2 linked regions of the Schizosaccharomyces pombe genome follow. The protein of the gene in region 2 interacts with the protein of the main gene of each other region in a pairwise test. Each region holds a gene or a part of one and is shown on either strand. Other genes may lie near its edges.

The links.
Region 1: the proteins of tif302 (region 2) and mdv1 interact in a two-hybrid assay, tested with the Schizosaccharomyces pombe proteins (2 studies listed by BioGRID).

Annotation. Positions count from the first base shown.
Region 1 is NC_003424.3:1,730,160-1,740,061, reverse strand, and holds mdv1 (CCR4-Not complex subunit Caf4/Mdv1), read right to left. Parts: upstream 5,468-9,902; 5' UTR 5,070-5,467; coding exon 3,114-5,069; 3' UTR 2,755-3,113; downstream 1-2,754. Other genes in the region: calcium/calmodulin-dependent protein kinase Cmk1, read left to right, coding at 975-1,138, 1,186-1,240, 1,308-1,398, 1,471-1,801, 1,864-2,230; plasma membrane ammonium transmembrane transporter Amt2, read right to left, coding at 6,897-8,435.
Region 2 is NC_003424.3:4,308,634-4,318,470, reverse strand, and holds tif302 (translation initiation factor eIF3b (p84)), read right to left. Parts: upstream 7,911-9,837; 5' UTR 7,893-7,910; coding exon 5,715-7,892; 3' UTR 5,410-5,714; downstream 1-5,409. Other genes in the region: pan1 (actin cortical patch component protein PanI), read left to right, coding at 1-5,250; kinesin-5 family plus-end directed microtubule motor, bimC subfamily Cut7, read left to right, coding at 8,495-9,837.

The sequences.
Region 1 (9,902 bases), 2.6 Mb from region 2:
AATACCTCTTCCAAGATGGAAAAGATTATAAAAGTAATCATTCAAAATCGATTTTATTAGCTCAATTTACACTCAGTCTGTTTTTCACAATTTTTGTTACAGTATGAATCTTTGTTACGTGGTTACCTTTTCGTATTCTGTTCTATGTTGTTAATACGCTTACTGTATTTAAACAAACTAAAATGCATGGGATAGCGCATTATTACGGTATACGTTAGTGACCAATATTCGCCATGATGGCTTGTTATATCTACTTAACTCTCATGAGCTGGTAATATCAGCGAAATTTCAAGCAGTTCGCGTTTTGCCAATTGCTCATAAAACTGCGATTTTTTAAGGATTGTATAATTAAATTCAATTCTTTAAATAATTGTGTTGCATTGTTACAGTGTTTGGTGGTTTCAATACGCTAATTGTAATTTTGATCTTTCTGATCTTGTTTTCTCTTAGAAGAGGAAAATAGGTACGGAAATTACTGAACCGATTGGGAATTACCAGGATTTATGACTATACTGCAGACTACTGGTTTTGCAATTGCAAATCAGTTGGACGGTATTTATCAGACGCTGGTTTTCTTGTTATCTTCATCAATACTATTCGGGTACATTCAATATCAATATCCTGTTAAATCCGAGGATTTCAATATACCTTTTCCAAATTTTTCCATATTTACAAGTTGAGGCTAAGCACTTATTGTCATAAGTTGGTGGACAGTCATTGCGCTGCTTAGATCATTCTGTTATTGAACCACCGTTTAACTCAACAGCCTGCTTCGCGCAAATAATATTTTCTTTATTGTTTCTACGGGATTTTTTTCATTTACATACCTTTACATTTTTGGTTTCATAAAAGAATTCTGTAGTACAGAATTGTTTATGGCACCATCTAACAATACAATAATTTACATTAAGAGAAACCTTTTACGTTTACCTTCGTTGGCATTGGAATAATTCATCTATTGATTCTTTACAGCTATGCAGCAAACATACAAACCAAACACCTCGGCCTTGAAAGACGGTGCTCCAAAGGCTACGGTGGATCAGAAACAACTATTACCTTGCAAATATCGTGTCGGTCGGGTTTTGGGAGGCGGAACATATGCGACGGTTCGTGAAGCCGTTCATATCGAAACTAACAAGTAAGTATATTTTAAATTCGAGTTGTTTGCTGACCAAATTTTCATAGAATGTATGCGGCTAAGATTATGAATAAAAAGATGATGGAGAAGAAACAAGACTTTGTAAGTAAAGACTTAAGTACTTACAGCATCCTTATTTACGTTTACTAACATGTTTTTGGTGGTATAGGTGAAGAATGAAATTGCAATTCTAAAACGTGTTTCTTATGAACATCCTAATATCTTACACTTGGTTGATTTTTTTGAAACTGTGAATAATCGTATGTCTCCGATTTCGATTTGATGAATCAAATGTTATTGTGATGTGTTTTGTTCACTAACCCTTGAAACAGTGTACTTAATCACTGAACTGGCCACCGGTGGTGAACTTTTTGATAGAATATGTGCCAAAGGTTCATTTTATGAGGCCGATGCTGCTGCTTTAATGCGTACTACCACATCAGCAGTTAAGTACTTGCATGACAATGGAATTGTACATCGAGATTTGAAGCCAGAAAATTTACTTTATCGCTCTAAAGATCCGAATTCAGATTTGTTAATTGCCGATTTTGGATTGTCCCACTTTTATGAGGATTCTCAATACTATATGCTCATGACGGCATGTGGGACACCAGAGTACATGGCACCCGAAGTCTTTCGTCGAACCGGATATGGAAAACCTGTGTAAGTTGATCAACTACCATTTTAATTCAGAAGTTATGTATCTTGACTAATACTGTTTATAGAGATATGTGGGCTATTGGCGTTATAACTTATTTTTTACTCAGTGGTTATACTCCATTTGCTCGACCTTCTCAGGTTGAAGTTATAGAAGCAATTTTAGCTAACGAGTACACTTTTAACGATCCTTGCTGGTCTGGCATTTCAGAAACGGCCAAGGACTTTATTAAAAAATGTTTGGAAAACGACCCTTCGAAACGTTTAACTGCTGCTGATGCGTTGAAGCACCCCTTCCTGTCTGAAAAGCGTCCCGCAACCTCCAATTTGCTTCCAAACGTCCGGGAAAATTTCAATGCAAGAAAAACGTTCCGTACTGCCTATAACGCTGTACGTGCTTTCAACACTTGGAAAAAGCTTGAGAATAAGCATTAATTATACACATCTTTTCTTATAACTTTCTTATTTTATCTTGTTATGACTTATGACTTCTTTATTATCTTTTGCCCTCAGTACATACTTTTTTGGTATTAACACTCTTACATGTTAAATATATTCTTTGTGATTTGGAATGCTTGGACCTATCATGTTCTCTACTTAGTTTTTAAAATAGCCTCATACAAAATGCTAAAAGTTATGTCGATGTTTTAAAAAGTAACGCTACCAGTTTTCTGACATTGTTAGACTGTTGACGACAGATGAACGCAGTTGTTTAATTCTCTATATATATTGCAGATGTAAAATTTTGAAATTTTAGCATTTATGACTATTTATGCTTCAAAAATAAAATGACCATTCAGTTAATCTGAAATATAAAAAGAGCTTGGTTATTTCCATATTTTACTCACTGTGTGAGTTCAAATTGCTAATTTCAAAAAGATTCTTCAATACTTATTATGTGTAGTTGACATTAAACACGCTGAGCGTGTTTTGTAAACTGGATCAACAAAATGAAATACAACATCTCAGATCAGAATGAGGTTGCGTACTTCATACTAGTAAAACCAAAAAAATGTAAACTAGAAAAGATTTTTATTTACTAAATTTTAAACCTACAGTATAAGAAGCAGAAGGGAGGTGGTGATCAAACAATTTGCTTTGAGAATTTTTTTAAATATTTTGAACAAAATTAACATCACAGTTTTTTATTCGCAATGTCTCGTTCCTTTTTATTTGTCCATAAATAAATAAAAAAACCAAACAGAAGTTAATACCCATTAACCAAAGCATAAAGACATAAAATTTTAAAATTAACGTTATCCAGATTCAACACAATAACGAGAGTATAATAAATAAAGGTGTGGATAAAAAATACAAATTAAGCAGAAAAAACGCTAACAGATCCATCAGACTTTCCATCCACCAAAAAGCGATCTTTATATTGAACAGAAGTAGGTACTGAGTTAGGTTCGGCTGCTATGGAATCAGAGTGAGAAGGAATTGAACAAATCCAGTTCCGATTAGATACAGTATCAAATATCCTAACATTTGGTTCATCAGATGCTACAGCAAGACGACCTTGATACAGTCTTAAGGAATTCACTTTTTTCTCCATAGGTATAATATTAATTGGCGAGCCACTTCGTAAATCCCATATTCTAACAGAATTGTCATAGCTTCCGGAATACAAATGGTTGGAATCGAATTGCAAAGAAGAAATAGGAGCTGTGTGCCCAATGAAACTTCTCACAGGAAGACCGATTCGCAAATCCCAGATGCGAATAAGTCCATCGACAGTCCCACTAGCCACAGCAGCATCTAAGCAGTCTAAAGCTCTGATGAAAGGTTCTTGTTTGTAAGTGTCACTGACCAAAATTTGACTAGTAGATGTATCATGAGTTTCCGCCCACACAAAGTCCAAAGTTTGAATACAACGCCCCGTAACGATATCCCACTGTCGAACAGTTTTATCATCGGCACCGGTTATAAGCACATCATCACTAGATAATGCTAATGCAGTGACAGGGGCAGTGTGAGATGTTAAAACATTTGTGGCATTGTCAACAGGTTGATCGGGAGGAGAATTAAGGCTCTCTTCAACAGGATTATCCTTATGAAGTACATCATTATCTAAATTCCATAACCGCACGGTTGTATCCATAGAGCCAGTAGCAATAAAGGAGTCTTGAATCGCCAGACAAGAAACATAATCAGAATGACCTTTCAATGAACCCAGGTATACAACACCCGCCATATCCCAAACTTTCACAGTTTTGTCAGTCGAGGCCGTAGCTAAAGTTCCAAAAGGATGGGAAAAATCAAGACTCGTAATATATTCAGAATGAGCTTGAAACTGCTTTACGAGATTTCCAACTATATAATTTTGATTCACAGATGATTCAGTATTCTCTGGTGCTTTAGAAAAAGCGGAATTCTGTTCAAAGTAATCTGATACCACTTCACTAGCCGTAGATGGCCTTGGAGCTCTTGGAGAGATAGCCCTAGCAGATAAATTATCTGTATACTTGTCGTGTGTATCATCAAAAACATCGGGGTTAGCTCCATTTTTACCCGCTTCAATTTGTGAAGGAATTAAATCATGAGAATATGAGCTATACAAATCTTGAGCATCCGAATCTAACATCAGTTTCTCAACAGAAGCCAGCTTGGAAGTATACTTTAAATTCTGTTCCTCGATCTTGCTAAGGCGTTCAAGAACTTGCCTTCTTCGAGAATAGAGTTTGGACAACTCCAAATCAATCTGTGCAAGTTCGCTAGAATTAATGAGCTTTTGAAGACGAAGTTGATTGCATTTCTTCACCAATTTTTCGTGTTGTAAGCTATCGGGCTTAAATTCAGAAGAGTCGGAAACCATTGACACATCAATCGATGATACATTTTTTTTGCCTTCCTTTTGGTTGGAGCTTGTTATCGGCAAAGGTGAAGTGTCGGAATGATCGTGAGCAGTGACTGAGTAACCTTCAAGCAAACTATAAGACGTTTCTTGATGGTCCGGAATATCAAACAAAAGAGGATCGGGCAATGTTTGAGCTTGAACTGGATCAACACCGTTATGTGATAAAAACCATTCATTAAATTGGGATTTGGATAAACGATGGCGTAAAAAAGGATGAGAAAGGCCACGCACGAACAGAGATATGGGATTTCTTTGAGGTGTAACTGGACTAGAATCGAAGAAATTCCACGTTGTATAAGCTATGGCTTTAGTCCAATAAAAAACATCTTTTCTTAAACCTTTCGAAATAGTGGGAGTTAACGAATCATTTGGAATTTTTTGTGAAGAATCTTTGCTCTTTGAATTATTATCAGTCATAAAACGAAAAAAGCCAACAATTAGAAGAAAAGCTAGTGAACTTTAATACTTTAAGGAATTAAAATAATGAGGTAAAGGGTTCAGATCTCCCAAACGTAAAAGCGGTTAAAAAAGGTGGCTTTACGGAGATAAATGATATATCCAGATGAAGGCCTTAAAAAAGAAAGCAATTTTTAGATGAGTTGAGAAATAAAATCTTTTCAATCGACGCTACGTGTAAGGTATAAGAAGTTCAATAAGAGTATGATTCCCGCACGTACTTTTACAAAACAAAAACCAATGGGAATTAAGCAAACAACTAAAATTTGTAGTAAATGTCCAGCTCTTTTAATCTCAGCTTGTATTTGATAAAAATCAAGAGACAATTGAATATACAAGCTTTTTTGTCACTGGTGTGTGGAAGAAGGAAGGAAAAAGCAACGTAAGTACTAGAGGGATGAGCGAATCCAATGGCGGTAGAGAAAGTAGAAATGGAATATGTAGGTCAAAAATGAAAGAGAAGTAGAAAAAAAAAATCCATACTATGAATAAAGTTATTACTTCAACTGTTTGGCACTTGTAAGAAATTATCCTCATCGAATTTATCTTATTAGCACTATAAATAAATTCACACAATTTACTGAAACAAGAGTACCAAAGTTCATAAAAATTATAAATTATATATCTTACTATAGACTGCTAATTTTACTGGCCCTTCAAACCCTCTTACAGTTTTATTGAATATATATATAAATTGACATCTTAACAGTAATGCAATAAAATAAATAAAACATTTAGTAAAGCGGAATGATGGTTCAGACATTACATATTATTTTTGTAATAATGAGTAGAATAACTCAACATGTTTCTTTCTTGAATTTTATATTTTTTTAACCTTTACTTTAATTTGATTTGTTATTTTTATTAAAAAATTAAAAAAATTCATAGGAACTCATCATCTATTGCCTAATTTAAGACTCAAAGACTCTTCTTTATTCAAAACTGAATATTATTTAAATACATATAAAATATACATATATGGATACAAGAGATTCGCTAATTATCAATTTCAATCGCCAAGTTTATATAGAAATTTCATATTCAATATTCTCATTAAAAATACGTTCTAAAAGTAATTAGATATAAACTACTAAGTTTAACCCCATTCAACCAAGTCCCGTTTAGCTCAATCGGCTTAGAGCGTCCGGCTTTTAACCGGAAGGTTGCGAGTTCGAGTCTCGCAGTGGGAGTTTACTTTTTATTTTTTGTTTCGATGCAGTAGTGAGGTTTTCACTTCCGGTAAATTCGTAAACAGTAAATAGTTATTAAAGCCTAATTCGACGTACTTTTTTGTACCTATTCATTGGTTTCATGGTGAATGATGATTATACAAAATACAAACTTATTATGACTGGAAACAAAGATTGACTTGCTCATTTTAAATCTTTTGGCTTATAAGATAATTAATTCTCTTCATATTTGGATACACAAATTACAAACCAAATTCGCATAAAAATATTTTCATTACAATTATTAGTCTTGCCTTTAAACCGAATTCATTTTAAATGCTGTTAACAAAAAAAAAACCTTAAAATTATAATTTAAGATTCTGACCTCTTTAGAAGTAAAAACAAGCAAATCTTTCAAGAAATTTCTAGTCTTTGTAATTTTGTTCAAAACTTCCCAAACAGCGACCTTGTAGTTGTGCTATTTTCTTTTTTTCTTTAAACAATCATAAACCAATCTACCAAAATTTTCATTTCTTTTATTAACTTAAAATCTTTTCTCCAATTCAACCTTTTACTTTTTTTTTTTAAACCCAAATAACTTTGTACGATGCAAAAAGATTTAGATCGTAAGTCCAAGCTCCAATGGGTTTGTTGATTCTAGAATCTTGCCGGGAGCAGCCACATTTCCAGTAGGTTGAGCAACGCCATTGGAAATAATGATTTCTTCAGGTACACCGGCAGGGGAAATCTTCCAATGCTTATATTCACGACGTTCTTCAATATAATCAAACGCGTATTCACCTATTTGATCAGCATCCACACCAATTTCTTCAGCATCAGGGCTCACTCGAAGTTGAAGGTAGGGAATTTTGTCCGTAATGAATAAAATGATAAACGTGACAACAAAGTCGTATGCACCAACAGCACAAATATAGGCCATTTGCAAGCCTAGTTGGCGCCAATGGTGATCAAACCAACCACCTCTGATTTTGTTTTCACCAACATAAATACCATCCATTGCTGCGATATAATCAACGGCAAACAAACCATTCAAAAAGGTACCCACAAAACCCGCAACACCGTGGATAGCGAAAATATCCATCGCATCATCAATGCGCATATGTGACTTTAACTTAATGGCCCAATTGCAACATAAGCCAGTAATAGCACCAATTGCCAAAGAGGCATGAGGACTCACAAAACCAGCACAAGGCGTTGCAGCCACCAAACCGGCAACAACCCCGGAACAAAAACCTATGGTTGACCATTTCCTAGTGCGAAAAATGTAGTCGTAAATAACCCATACTAAACCAGCTACAGCACCTGCTAAGTTTGTGTTGGTGATTGCCATAGCGGCTCGCAGATTGGAGCCGTAAGCACTACCACCGTTGAAACCAAGCCAACCAAACCATAGCAGAGATGTTCCCAATACAACATTGAGCACAGAATGAGGGCGAAATTGTTCCTCAACAAATTTGGATCGACGTCCTAAACAAACCGTATACGCCAAAGCTGCAAATCCTGATCCAACTTCTACAGGTCCTCCGCCAGCGAAATCGTATACACCAAATTTAAAAGCCCAACCATTTGGATTCCAAATCCAACACGCTATGGGACAATAAACGACAGTGAGCCACACAAATGTGATGATGAGCATTGGACCAATACGACCTCTTTCAGCGGCGGCACCAGTGAAGAGGGCTACAGTAATTGCGGCGAACATTCCTTGAAAATTTGCAAATACAAGCTCGGGAATATTATTGCTACCAGGAGAGTAATCGGCAAGTGTGCGAATAAAGGCAAAATGACGAAGATTGCCAATATAACCAGAGGTTCCAGTTTGAGAAAAAGCAAGAGAATAACCCCAGAAATACCATTGGAAAAAACTAACACATAAACCAAGCATAGAGAGCATGATAAGAGCCAATGTATTTTTCCTTCTTGCTAAGCCAGAGTAGAAAAAAGCCACACCAGGCACCATAATAAGACACAATGGAGTACAAGCTAAAATCCAACTAGTGTTTCCATAATCATAAAATTTATTAAGATCTTCGTGCAAAACATTTCCACCACTACCACCACTAGGTGTAGCTGTAGCTGGCAGTACTGAAATATAAACAGTAGAAGTTGCTGTGGGAATTGAATTCACTGACGACATGGCAACGAATTTTTTAGAAAAAATTTTTTCTTTCTTTTTTATACCTTTGAAATTAAGAGAGGGATTTAAAAATGATTAAATGTTAAATTGGATTGGAAAGGTCCTAAAGATTCTGAGTTATAAAACTTTTTGGTCAACAAAGAAGCAAAGCACAGTAATAAGACTATTAGTAATTGATTCAGACACTAGAATCAGTGATGGTTAAAAATACTTAATATGATTTAACCAAAAAGGAAGTTGTTACGTAAAAGGGGAACTCTTAAAACAGAAAATCAATGATCTGATCTATATTTTCAAAAAGAAAAAAAAGTAAAATATCCAAGGGAAATGGATAAATATTCTAGCATTTATTAAAAAAAAACACTATTTTCTCTTGAATTTAAGTCAAGATCGAGATATAATCTTCAGCAATTTCTCAAACGAATCAAAACTTCGAGTGACTAGATGTAAACAGCACTTTTACAAGTAGTATAATCTCAAGAAACGATGTCGACTTCCACAATCCCAAACATTCAAAAATTCGTGAAATTGACAATGGCGCTGTTTGGGGAAGAAGTTGTGTTTGACGCTCACCGAAAATCGCTATATATGTCAGTAGTAAATAACGGGGGCACACAGAGGCGACTTCCAGCACGAGTAAAAAAAACCAGGTAGATAGCGGATAATTTCTTTTTTAAATAAATGTTTTTTAACTACAAGGTAGTGATGGTTTTTCTATCCGAAGCTGTAACGGATGACTCGGGAAAAAAAATTCGTTCACAGAAGGTTGTTACTTTTTTGAGATGGGAATAGATGAGAAAGACCGGCATCGTCACAACAATGTACGAGTTTGCCTTTCAGTTAAATGGATTTTCAACACAGCTATTTAACTATTGTGGAGCATGGCCTCCTTTTCCATTCAACTCCTTCCCCCGGGTAGATTTAATGTACAGACAGCAACGACACACGAAATGTAGTTTTGCCTTGAAAACAGTAAGTTTATAAGTAAAATAGGATGGAACAGCGCCTCTAAGACAGTGAATGTAGCAAAAAAAAATTTTTAGTAATTCAACAGAAAATGTAAACAAGTAACTTTCAGATCTGGATTATTCTCCACAGAACGATAGTTGAGATAACAACCTTATGCAAATTTAAGTATGAAGAGATAGGCGATAAACTGCAAATGTAACTGATAGCTGGATAACCAAATTCTATCAATATCTAAACGGTGGGTTATAGATTCGTTTAAAGTTGAATAGTAAGCAGCTTTCACCCTGGATTTGTTGCTCAGTATTGTCGGCAGTCGACCCGTCAAAAAAATGCCACGGAATGGAAGCTGAGGCATAGACACGTGTGAAAGAGAAGAAAACCATTTAATTATCTTTATTTCATTACAAAATGAGATTAAAAAAATGCAAAAATAAAGAACAACTATGCGTGCTTACTGCCTCTTCAAATAGCAGCAACAGAGTATCTAGTTGCGCAAAA
Region 2 (9,837 bases):
CAACAGCCTTATCAACCTGATGGCTATGCTGGTAATACGATGCTACCTTTTCAGCAATCACAACCAGCTACTCAGTTTAATAATGGATTCGGATATGCTTCTCAGCCTACGGGGTCTGTAGCCGATTATGGCCAACAGCAGCAGCAAATGTATGGCTATAATGGGATGATGCCTCAAACAATGAACAATACAGGTTTTATGCAACCTCAGCAAACTGGAGCTATACCTGGATTTGCCCCCCAACCTACGGGGTTTGTGCAACCGCAACCTACAGGGTTTATGTCGCAACAGCCTGCTTCATTTATGCAACCGCAAAGGACTGGTGGTGCAGGCTTTATACAGCCTCAACGGACTGGAGCAATGCCGGCATATCAACCTCAAATGAATAACTTTATGCAACCCCAAAAGACTGGTGGATTTGCTCCACAAGCAACTGGCTTTATGCAGACTCAACCCTTTGGGGCTGCTCCATCGTTTGCTCCACAACCTACTGGATTTGTTCAACCTCAGCAAACTGGTGTAGTAATGCCACCTCAACCCACTGGATATTTGCAAGCTCAACCTACTGGACCTTTTGCATCTTTTGTTCAACCTCAGCAAACTGCGTCCTTCATGCCTGCTGCACAGCCCCTTAAACCTCAAAAGACTGGTCAAATTCATAATAGTAAAGCGATGGACACTAGATTATCATTCGTCTCTGCTGCTGATCAGGCCAAATTTGAGCAACTTTTCAAATCTGCTGTTGGTAGAGAAGAAGCAATGTCATCTGAGATCGGTAAAGCAATACTTGTTCGTTCTAAGCTTCCTACCGTTCAGTTATCAAAAATTTGGAGGTTATCAGATACCACCCGCTCTGGTCGCCTTTTGTTTCCTCAATTTGTATTGGCTATGTATCTTTGTAACTTAGGACTTACAGGGAAGCCCATACCTGATAAGGTTCCGGATGGGATTCTTAATGAGGTAAATGCCATGGTAGATGCAATTTCATTTTCGTTGGATGAAAATTACGCAAAACCAACTCAGCCAATTCCACAAGCTGCTGCTCAGCAGATGGCAGCTCAAATGTTTGGTGGATTCCAGCAAGCTGCTGGTATACCTTCTCAAATAACCGGATTTCAGCCGCAGGCGATGATGCCACAGCGCACTGGAATGCAGCCACAGATGACCGGATTTCAACAACCTATGATTCCTCAAAGAACTGGCATGCAGCCCCAAATGACTGGATTTCAACAACCCATGATGCCTCAAAGAACTGGTTTGCAACCACAGATGACTGGATTTCAACAACCTATGGTTCCTCAAAGAACTGGCATGCAGCCCCAAATGACTGGATTTCAACAACCCATGATGCCTCAAAGAACTGGTTTGCAACCACAGATGACTGGATTTCAACAACCTATGGTTCCTCAAAGAACTGGCATGCAGCCCATGATGCCGGGTTTGCAGCAACCGATGGCTCCTCAAAGAACTGGCATGCAACCCATGATGCCTCAAAGAACTGGTATGCAACCTCAAATGACTGGATTTCAACAACCTATGGCTCCCCAAAGAACCGGCATGCAACCCATGATGCCTCAGAGAACTGGTATGCAGCCTCAAATGCCAGGTATGCAGCAACCGATGGCTCCCCAAAGAACTGGCATGCAACCCATGATGCCTCAAAGAACTGGTATGCAGCAACCGATGGCTCCCCAAAGAACCGGCATGCAACCCATGATGCCTCAGAGAACTGGTATGCAGCCTCAAATGCCAGGTATGCAACAACCGATGGCTCCCCAAAGAACCGGTATGCAACCCATGATGCCTCAGAGAACTGGTATGCAGCCTCAAATGCCAGGTATGCAGCAACCGATGGCTCCCCAAAGAACTGGAATGCAGCCGATGGCGCCTCAGAGAACCGGTATGCAACCCATGATGCCTCAAAGAACCGGTATGCAGCCTCAAATGCCAGGCATGCAACAACCGATGGCGCCTCAACGAACTGGCATGCAACCCATGATGCCTCAAAGAACTGGTATGCAGCCTCAGATGCCAGGTATGCAGCAACCGATGGCTCCCCAAAGAACTGGAATGCAGCCGATGGCACCTCAGAGAACCGGTATGCAACCTCAGATGACTGGTGGTCCTATGCTTCCCCAGCGCACTGGTGGTATGGCACCTCAACCAACCGGAATGCCTGGTCAATGGGGCTTCATTAATACTCCTTTAAGTAATCTTCCTGGAATTGAAGCATTAGGACAGCAAATGATGCCAAATGCTCCTTCTGGAGGCCTTAACAATACGTTTCAGCAGAAGAAAGATATTCCTTGGGCTATCAGCAAAGAAGAAAAACGAATTTATGACCAAATTTTTGATGCTTGGGACAAGGAGCGAAAGGGTACCCTTGGTGGCAACGCAGTTTTGGAAATTTTTGGTCAAAGCAAGTTAACCCGGACTGAGCTTGAGCATATTTGGAACTTATGTGATCACGGTGACAAGGGTTCTTTAGACCGTGATGAATTTGCTGTTGCCCTTCATTTGATATATCGCAAATTGAATGGTAATGAAGTACCTGCCGTGCTTCCCCCTGAGTTAATTCCTCCTTCTACTAGAAACTTTACTGAGTCGTTGAATCAAGTTAAGAACCTAATTAAGAATGACACGAGTAACAGAAAACCTTTTGGCGCCGAAAATCAAAGCAAACTTAAGAAGAATTCGTTTTATGACAATCCTAGCGAAACGACTGAAAAGGATGCTACATTGTATCGGCACAATGATTCTGATGCATCTGCATATGTTTCTAGTGCTCGAAGAAGAGATTTTAAGGAAGAAAAGATTGAATCTGCTCCTCCTATTATTAATGATATTGATTCTGAAATAGCTTCTCTTAAAAAACGAATTCATGAAAAGAGTCTTGTTGTCAATGCTCTTGAAGATAAGAAACTGGCTGCTACTCCTGCCAATGACGTTCAAAATGACTCTTTAATTTATCGCATTAAATCTGTTCAAGATGAGATTAATCGACTTTCTACTTCTAACAAGTCACCTGAAGTTGCTTCTATGAATGTGCGATTAGAAGAGCTGAGCACCCGTGTCTCTAAAATGCTTTCTGATATTAATGAAGTTGATCATACAATTGCCAGCTTGTCGCTCAAACTTTTCCAAGCAGAGGATACTAAAAATTCTTATGACCAAACATCTCCAGAGGCTACCCAAGAACGTAATAGAACAATTTCTTCGAAGTTAGCAGAAATGGAGAAACAAAAGAATGAATCAAAGGCTGCGCTTGAGCAAATGAAAAATTATGTTACCAACATTGAGAATAACATTAGAGCAAAACTTCTACCTTCAGCGGCAAATGATGATGCTTGGCTATCTCAGAACGTTGTTGATGAATCTGTCACGCGTGTTGTCAAAGAGCTGCCTGTACCTGCCCCAGCAGCACCTCAAACTTTGAACCCTCCCTCTGTTTCCACAGTTCAACAATCGAAGCCCATTGAATCAAATACGCACACTCCCGAGGTTAAAGCTACTTCTGAATCACCATCAGCTTCGTCTAATCTTGAAGATCGTGCTGCTCGTATCAAGGCTGAAGCCCAACGTCGTATGAATGAGCGTTTGGCCGCTCTTGGTATAAAACCTCGTCAAAAGGGTACACCTTCTCCTGCACCAGTCAATTCTGCAACTAGCACACCAGTCGCCGCACCCACTGCTCAACAGATTCAACCCGGAAAACAAGCTTCAGCAGTTTCTTCTAATGTACCGGCTGTTTCAGCTTCTATTTCTACTCCTCCAGCTGTGGTTCCCACTGTTCAGCACCCCCAGCCGACTAAACAAATTCCAACAGCAGCTGTTAAAGACCCATCTACTACTTCTACGTCCTTTAACACAGCTCCCATACCTCAACAAGCACCACTGGAAAATCAGTTTTCAAAAATGTCACTTGAACCACCTGTCAGGCCAGCTGTTCCCACTTCTCCTAAACCGCAAATACCGGACTCATCGAATGTGCATGCTCCACCACCTCCCGTTCAACCTATGAACGCAATGCCATCTCACAATGCTGTTAATGCAAGACCATCTGCTCCTGAAAGACGCGATTCATTTGGCTCTGTTTCTTCAGGATCCAATGTTTCCTCAATTGAAGATGAAACCTCCACTATGCCCCTTAAGGCAAGTCAACCAACCAATCCAGGTGCACCTTCAAACCATGCTCCACAAGTGGTACCTCCGGCACCAATGCATGCTGTAGCTCCGGTTCAGCCGAAGGCGCCCGGAATGGTTACAAATGCTCCAGCTCCATCATCTGCGCCTGCACCCCCTGCTCCTGTTTCACAGCTACCTCCAGCGGTACCAAATGTTCCTGTTCCAAGTATGATACCCTCTGTAGCTCAACAGCCTCCCTCTTCGGTGGCTCCTGCCACTGCTCCTAGCTCTACATTACCTCCATCCCAATCTTCTTTCGCTCATGTTCCTAGCCCAGCGCCGCCTGCACCTCAGCATCCTTCTGCGGCAGCTTTGTCATCTGCACCAGCAGACAACTCCATGCCTCATAGATCATCACCTTATGCACCTCAAGAACCTGTTCAGAAGCCTCAAGCGATAAATAATATAGCTCCTGCTACCAACTTGGGAACTTCGCAATCTTTTTCACCTAGGATGGGTCCTGTCAATAATTCAGGTTCTCCGTTGGCAATGAATGCTGCAGGTCAACCTTCTTTAGCCGTTCCTGCTGTTCCGTCAGCCCCTTCAAATCATTTCAATCCATTCGCTAAAATGCAACCACCAGCTCCTTCTCCTCTTCAACCTAGTGGTCACGATTCTGACAATTGGAGTCAACATGGTGATGAAGAAGAAGAAGATAGCGAAGATGACATACGTTCAAGTAAAGATGCAGCTGCCTTAGCCGCCAAATTATTCGGTGGTATGGCTCCTGCTCATCCTGTTTCAACACCTCCTGTAAGACCTCAATCGGCGGCACCACCTCAAATGTCTGCTCCAACACCACCACCTCCTCCTATGTCAGTACCACCACCTCCATCTGCACCGCCAATGCCTGCCGGTCCACCGTCTGCTCCACCACCACCTCTTCCTGCTTCATCGGCTCCTTCTGTTCCCAATCCAGGAGATCGTAGTGCTTTACTTCAACAAATTCATACTGGCACTCGGTTGAAAAAAACGGTTACGACGGATAAAAGCAAGCCCATAGCAGGACGAGTTTTAGACGCTTCTGACGGCAATTCATCCGCTTGGTATGGGAATTTGTCTTAGTGGCTTAACTTTTGTTTGTACTCATATCAAACGTTGAGTTTTTGTAGTGTTTCTAATTTTTATGCGCTCTTTATGAATGATATATTTTCTCATTCTGCAGCTATCAATTATCTCTTTAAATTGGCTTGTTTATACTTTATTTACCAATAAAATGTTTATGTTTAAATCTCTAGAGTGCATTAAGACAATATGAATTTAGAAACTTTCTTGAGTCAAATAATACTCGGACATTCACAAAACTATTAAGAACGCTATATTACTTATATACAGTAGTATGTAACGCAAATGCAATTCCATTTAAAAGGACTAATGTAAATATAAATTTCCCCATACAGTACCAATCGAAACGCAAATACACGTCCAGGAACACATAATTGCGGCAACAAGATCATGATTTTAATCAAGTAACATCCGATTTCGAAGAAGGCCCCAATTTTTTTATGACAAAAGGTAGCGTAAAGCCCTTAATCTTCAACGGGTTCTATCTCTTCAGAGATTACTTCCTCAACCGTTTCCTGAATTATTTCTTCTTCTTCAGCAGGAACAGTGATAGCAGGTTGGCCAGTGATTGCACGTTCTTCCGCAACCCGAGCAATAACCTCATCCCTATATTTCTGCCACTCACTAATGAGCTGTCTTCTACGGGCTGCCAATTCACGATTGGCGGAACTCTGTTCGGCGATATCCTCTTCATCAAACAAACGATTATAATCCTTAAGTTTCTTTCTAATTTTCTTCATGTCTTCCTTTGTCAATGGAGAAGGAGGTCTCGGACGCCAGATAAACTGCTTAAATTCTCCAATCATTTCTTCACGAAGAAGTGTGCCCCTAAAATCGCAAAGTCTGTAACCGTTCTCAAGCTTATGCCTCCAAATAGTACTGCTAGTAGTAACATATCGACCACTAGGATCCCACTCCAGCTCAGTCATACCAAAGTGCTCGGCAGAACCTATTTGCTGAACATTGGCAAGAGCATCCGGTTCTTTCTTTTCGGTATCAAAATCTAAGTCGTAAAACTCCAAATCATATTGAGTAGAGGAACCAAGGGTTGCAGCAACCATAAATCTACCCTTAGGCGCCATAAAAAGTGAATTGCATGTTTTCTTATCAAAAGTAATGATATGACGGAAAGTACTAGGGGTGTTCTTTTTCTGCTCAAAACCATAAAACGATAAATTAGTTTTTACATTTGTAGAATTTAAAACTTGATCATTAGCTGAAATTATGGCAAAACGATCACTCTTAGGTTCCCAGGCAAAATTGAGAACAACATCCTTAAGATCCACTACTTCAACGGGAATATTTTTCTCACGAATTCGGAATATTTCAAGGTTAGAGAATGTTGATTTCTTAGTTTTTGTGTGACGATCAACCTTAACACATAAATAATCACCATTAGACTGCCAGTACAACTTACAGTCGGAAACATTGAAAAGATTTTTCGTACGGATAGTTGATTTTGAAGGAATACTAATTAAGGCAACGCGAGCAGGTTGATTGGTAATTTCAGGGGTCCAGTAAGCTAAAAGCTGCTCCTTGGAATCACGTCCGAGAGCATCTGAAACTGGGCACCATTCAAAATTTTGCACACCGTCGATCTTGATAGTTTTCTTGTCAACCAAAGCAAGGGAGGGTGTCTCATAAACAGAAATCGACTGACCAACAGTAACGCGAGCAAGGTATTTATCATCGGCAGACCACTTGAAAATAGGCCAAATAACTTTTTTGCCATCCTTTGAACCTTCTGGTTGAGGAGGAATCTTAAAAGAACGAAGAATACGACCAGAGGCAATATCCCAAACGAAGCAATGTTTTCCTTCATCATCATCAGTGAAAGGCATTGTTTCACGAGCCGGATGTCCGATGGGAGGAAGTCGAACAGGCTCATAGGACCATGAAACAAGATACTTCTCGTTAGGGCTGAAGTCGACAAATTTTACGTAGGGGTGCAAGAAACGAGCACACATTCCCCAAGATTCCCCACCCCATAATTGAATACCACGAAGATGAAGTGATACGAGGTAAGTGCCCATGGGAGACCATTGCACGTAGGTCTCGGTCCAGTTTTCACGATCCACAATCTGTTCAGGGACGTCGCTCTTACGGTTCCAGTTAACAGATACACGGTTACCGTAATAGCTGATAAATTGATCACGACCATAGTAATCAGTTAACCAGCTACGCAAATGTTCGCGCTCCTTAAATTCACGTTCTTCGAAACTAAATTCATCAGGAGTGCTAAAAGCTTTTTCGAGTTGATTCAACTTACGAACAACGAAAGTATGGTTTTTTAAAATTTGCTTTCCATCCAACTCTTGAACGCAAAGATCGGCGCCATCAACATTTTCAAAATCGGCGAAAACTAGTCCAAGAGACATCTTTTTTCCATTTTTTTCCTCAAATGGCATATAAAATCCATTTTCCTTAACCTTTCCAATTTTAGCAAGGACTTTTGAGCTCAAAAAACGGAAGAAATCTTGCTGCTTAGCTTCTTCGACAACTGGAGCACCTTCGATTACTACAACCGTGTCATATCCAACAGGTTTAGTTACATTAAGCTTAACTTCCAGTTCAGAAACATCGATTTCCTCGTCCTTTACGACGATTTGATCCTTAATTTCCTCAATTAGGATTTCCGACATTTCTGGTGTAGTGCCGTTGTCTCTAGTCAAGTTTCTTCACCCAGTGACTGGGGGGACATCGAAGAGTAACTTTAGAGAAATTTAAAAAAAATTGAAAGTAATGAAAAGTAGAATTTAAAAAACATGGTATCATTTAAAATAAACTAATAAAGTTGATTCTGTTTTATATTTCTTCTTTTTTAGATTTTAACTCATTCTACCGATTTTGACTATTATCATTACTGACAACAGTTTATCTGCCAAGTTCGTTCATTTTGTATTGATTTTTAGTATTAGCACAATTGTTGGATTTTTCATAAAAGTTCTTTTTTCTCTTTTTATACTGTTGATTTGTACTGCAAAACATTGGAATGAGACATTCCAAGTGTTACCGTGTCTGAGTCCTCGTTCTTGTTTACAACAATTCAACAACATACTCAGGAGCGACAATTGTCCAATTTATTCATTCTTTTTACCCCTAAAAACAGACGTTTACGATCTTTTCCTATTTTAAATTTACCCCTTTTTTTTATATTGTGGTTTATTGAACTTTACAACAGAATTGCAATTTAAATTAACAACCTTGTCGCTTTCTTTGTAACAATCCTTACTCATAAAACCGAATGGCCCCTAGAGTTGCACCTGGTGGCTCACAACAATTTCTAGGAAAGCAGGGGTTGAAAGCTAAAAACCCGGTTTCTACTCCAAATTCACATTTCCGCTCTGCGAGCAATCCTAGGAAACGACGTGAGCCTCCTACTATTGACACTGGGTACCCAGATCGCTCCGACACTAATTCTCCGACAGATCATGCACTTCATGATGAGAACGAAACCAATATTAACGTAGTCGTCCGTGTTCGTGGTCGTACAGACCAAGAAGTACGCGACAATAGTAGCCTTGCTGTATCGACTTCGGGCGCTATGGGTGCTGAATTGGCCATCCAGTCGGATCCTTCATCCATGTTGGTCACGAAGACGTATGCCTTTGATAAAGTCTTTGGTCCTGAAGCTGACCAGTTAATGCTATTCGAAAATTCGGTAGCGCCCATGCTGGAGCAAGTATTGAACGGCTATAATTGTACTATATTTGCGTACGGACAAACTGGAACCGGTAAAACATATACTATGTCTGGTGATCTTAGCGATTCCGATGGAATTTTGTCTGAAGGAGCAGGCCTTATTCCTCGTGCCCTTTATCAATTATTTTCCTCCTTGGACAACAGTAATCAAGAATATGCTGTCAAATGCTCCTATTATGAACTTTACAACGAGGAAATTCGCGATCTTTTGGTTTCCGAAGAATTGCGAAAGCCAGCTCGTGTTTTTGAAGATACTTCGCGGAGAGGGAACGTTGTTATTACTGGTATTGAAGAAAGTTATATAAAAAATGCTGGCGATGGGTTGCGATTGTTACGTGAAGGCTCTCACCGGCGTCAAGTTGCTGCTACAAAGTGTAACGATCTTTCATCTCGTAGTCATTCAATCTTCACGATAACTCTGCATAGAAAGGTATCTTCGGGAATGACAGATGAAACTAATTCACTTACCATAAATAATAACTCTGATGACTTGCTGCGCGCCAGCAAACTTCATATGGTTGATTTGGCTGGAAGCGAGAACATTGGACGTTCTGGAGCTGAAAACAAACGTGCTCGAGAAACTGGAATGATCAATCAATCACTATTAACATTAGGCCGAGTAATTAATGCATTAGTGGAAAAGGCCCACCATATTCCATACCGTGAGTCCAAGCTTACACGCCTATTGCAGGATTCTTTGGGGGGAAAGACTAAAACCTCTATGATCGTTACCGTATCTTCTACTAATACTAATTTGGAAGAAACAATTTCTACTTTGGAGTATGCTGCTCGTGCTAAAAGTATACGCAATAAGCCTCAAAATAATCAGCTTGTCTTTCGAAAAGTCCTTATAAAAGACTTAGTGTTAGATATCGAACGATTGAA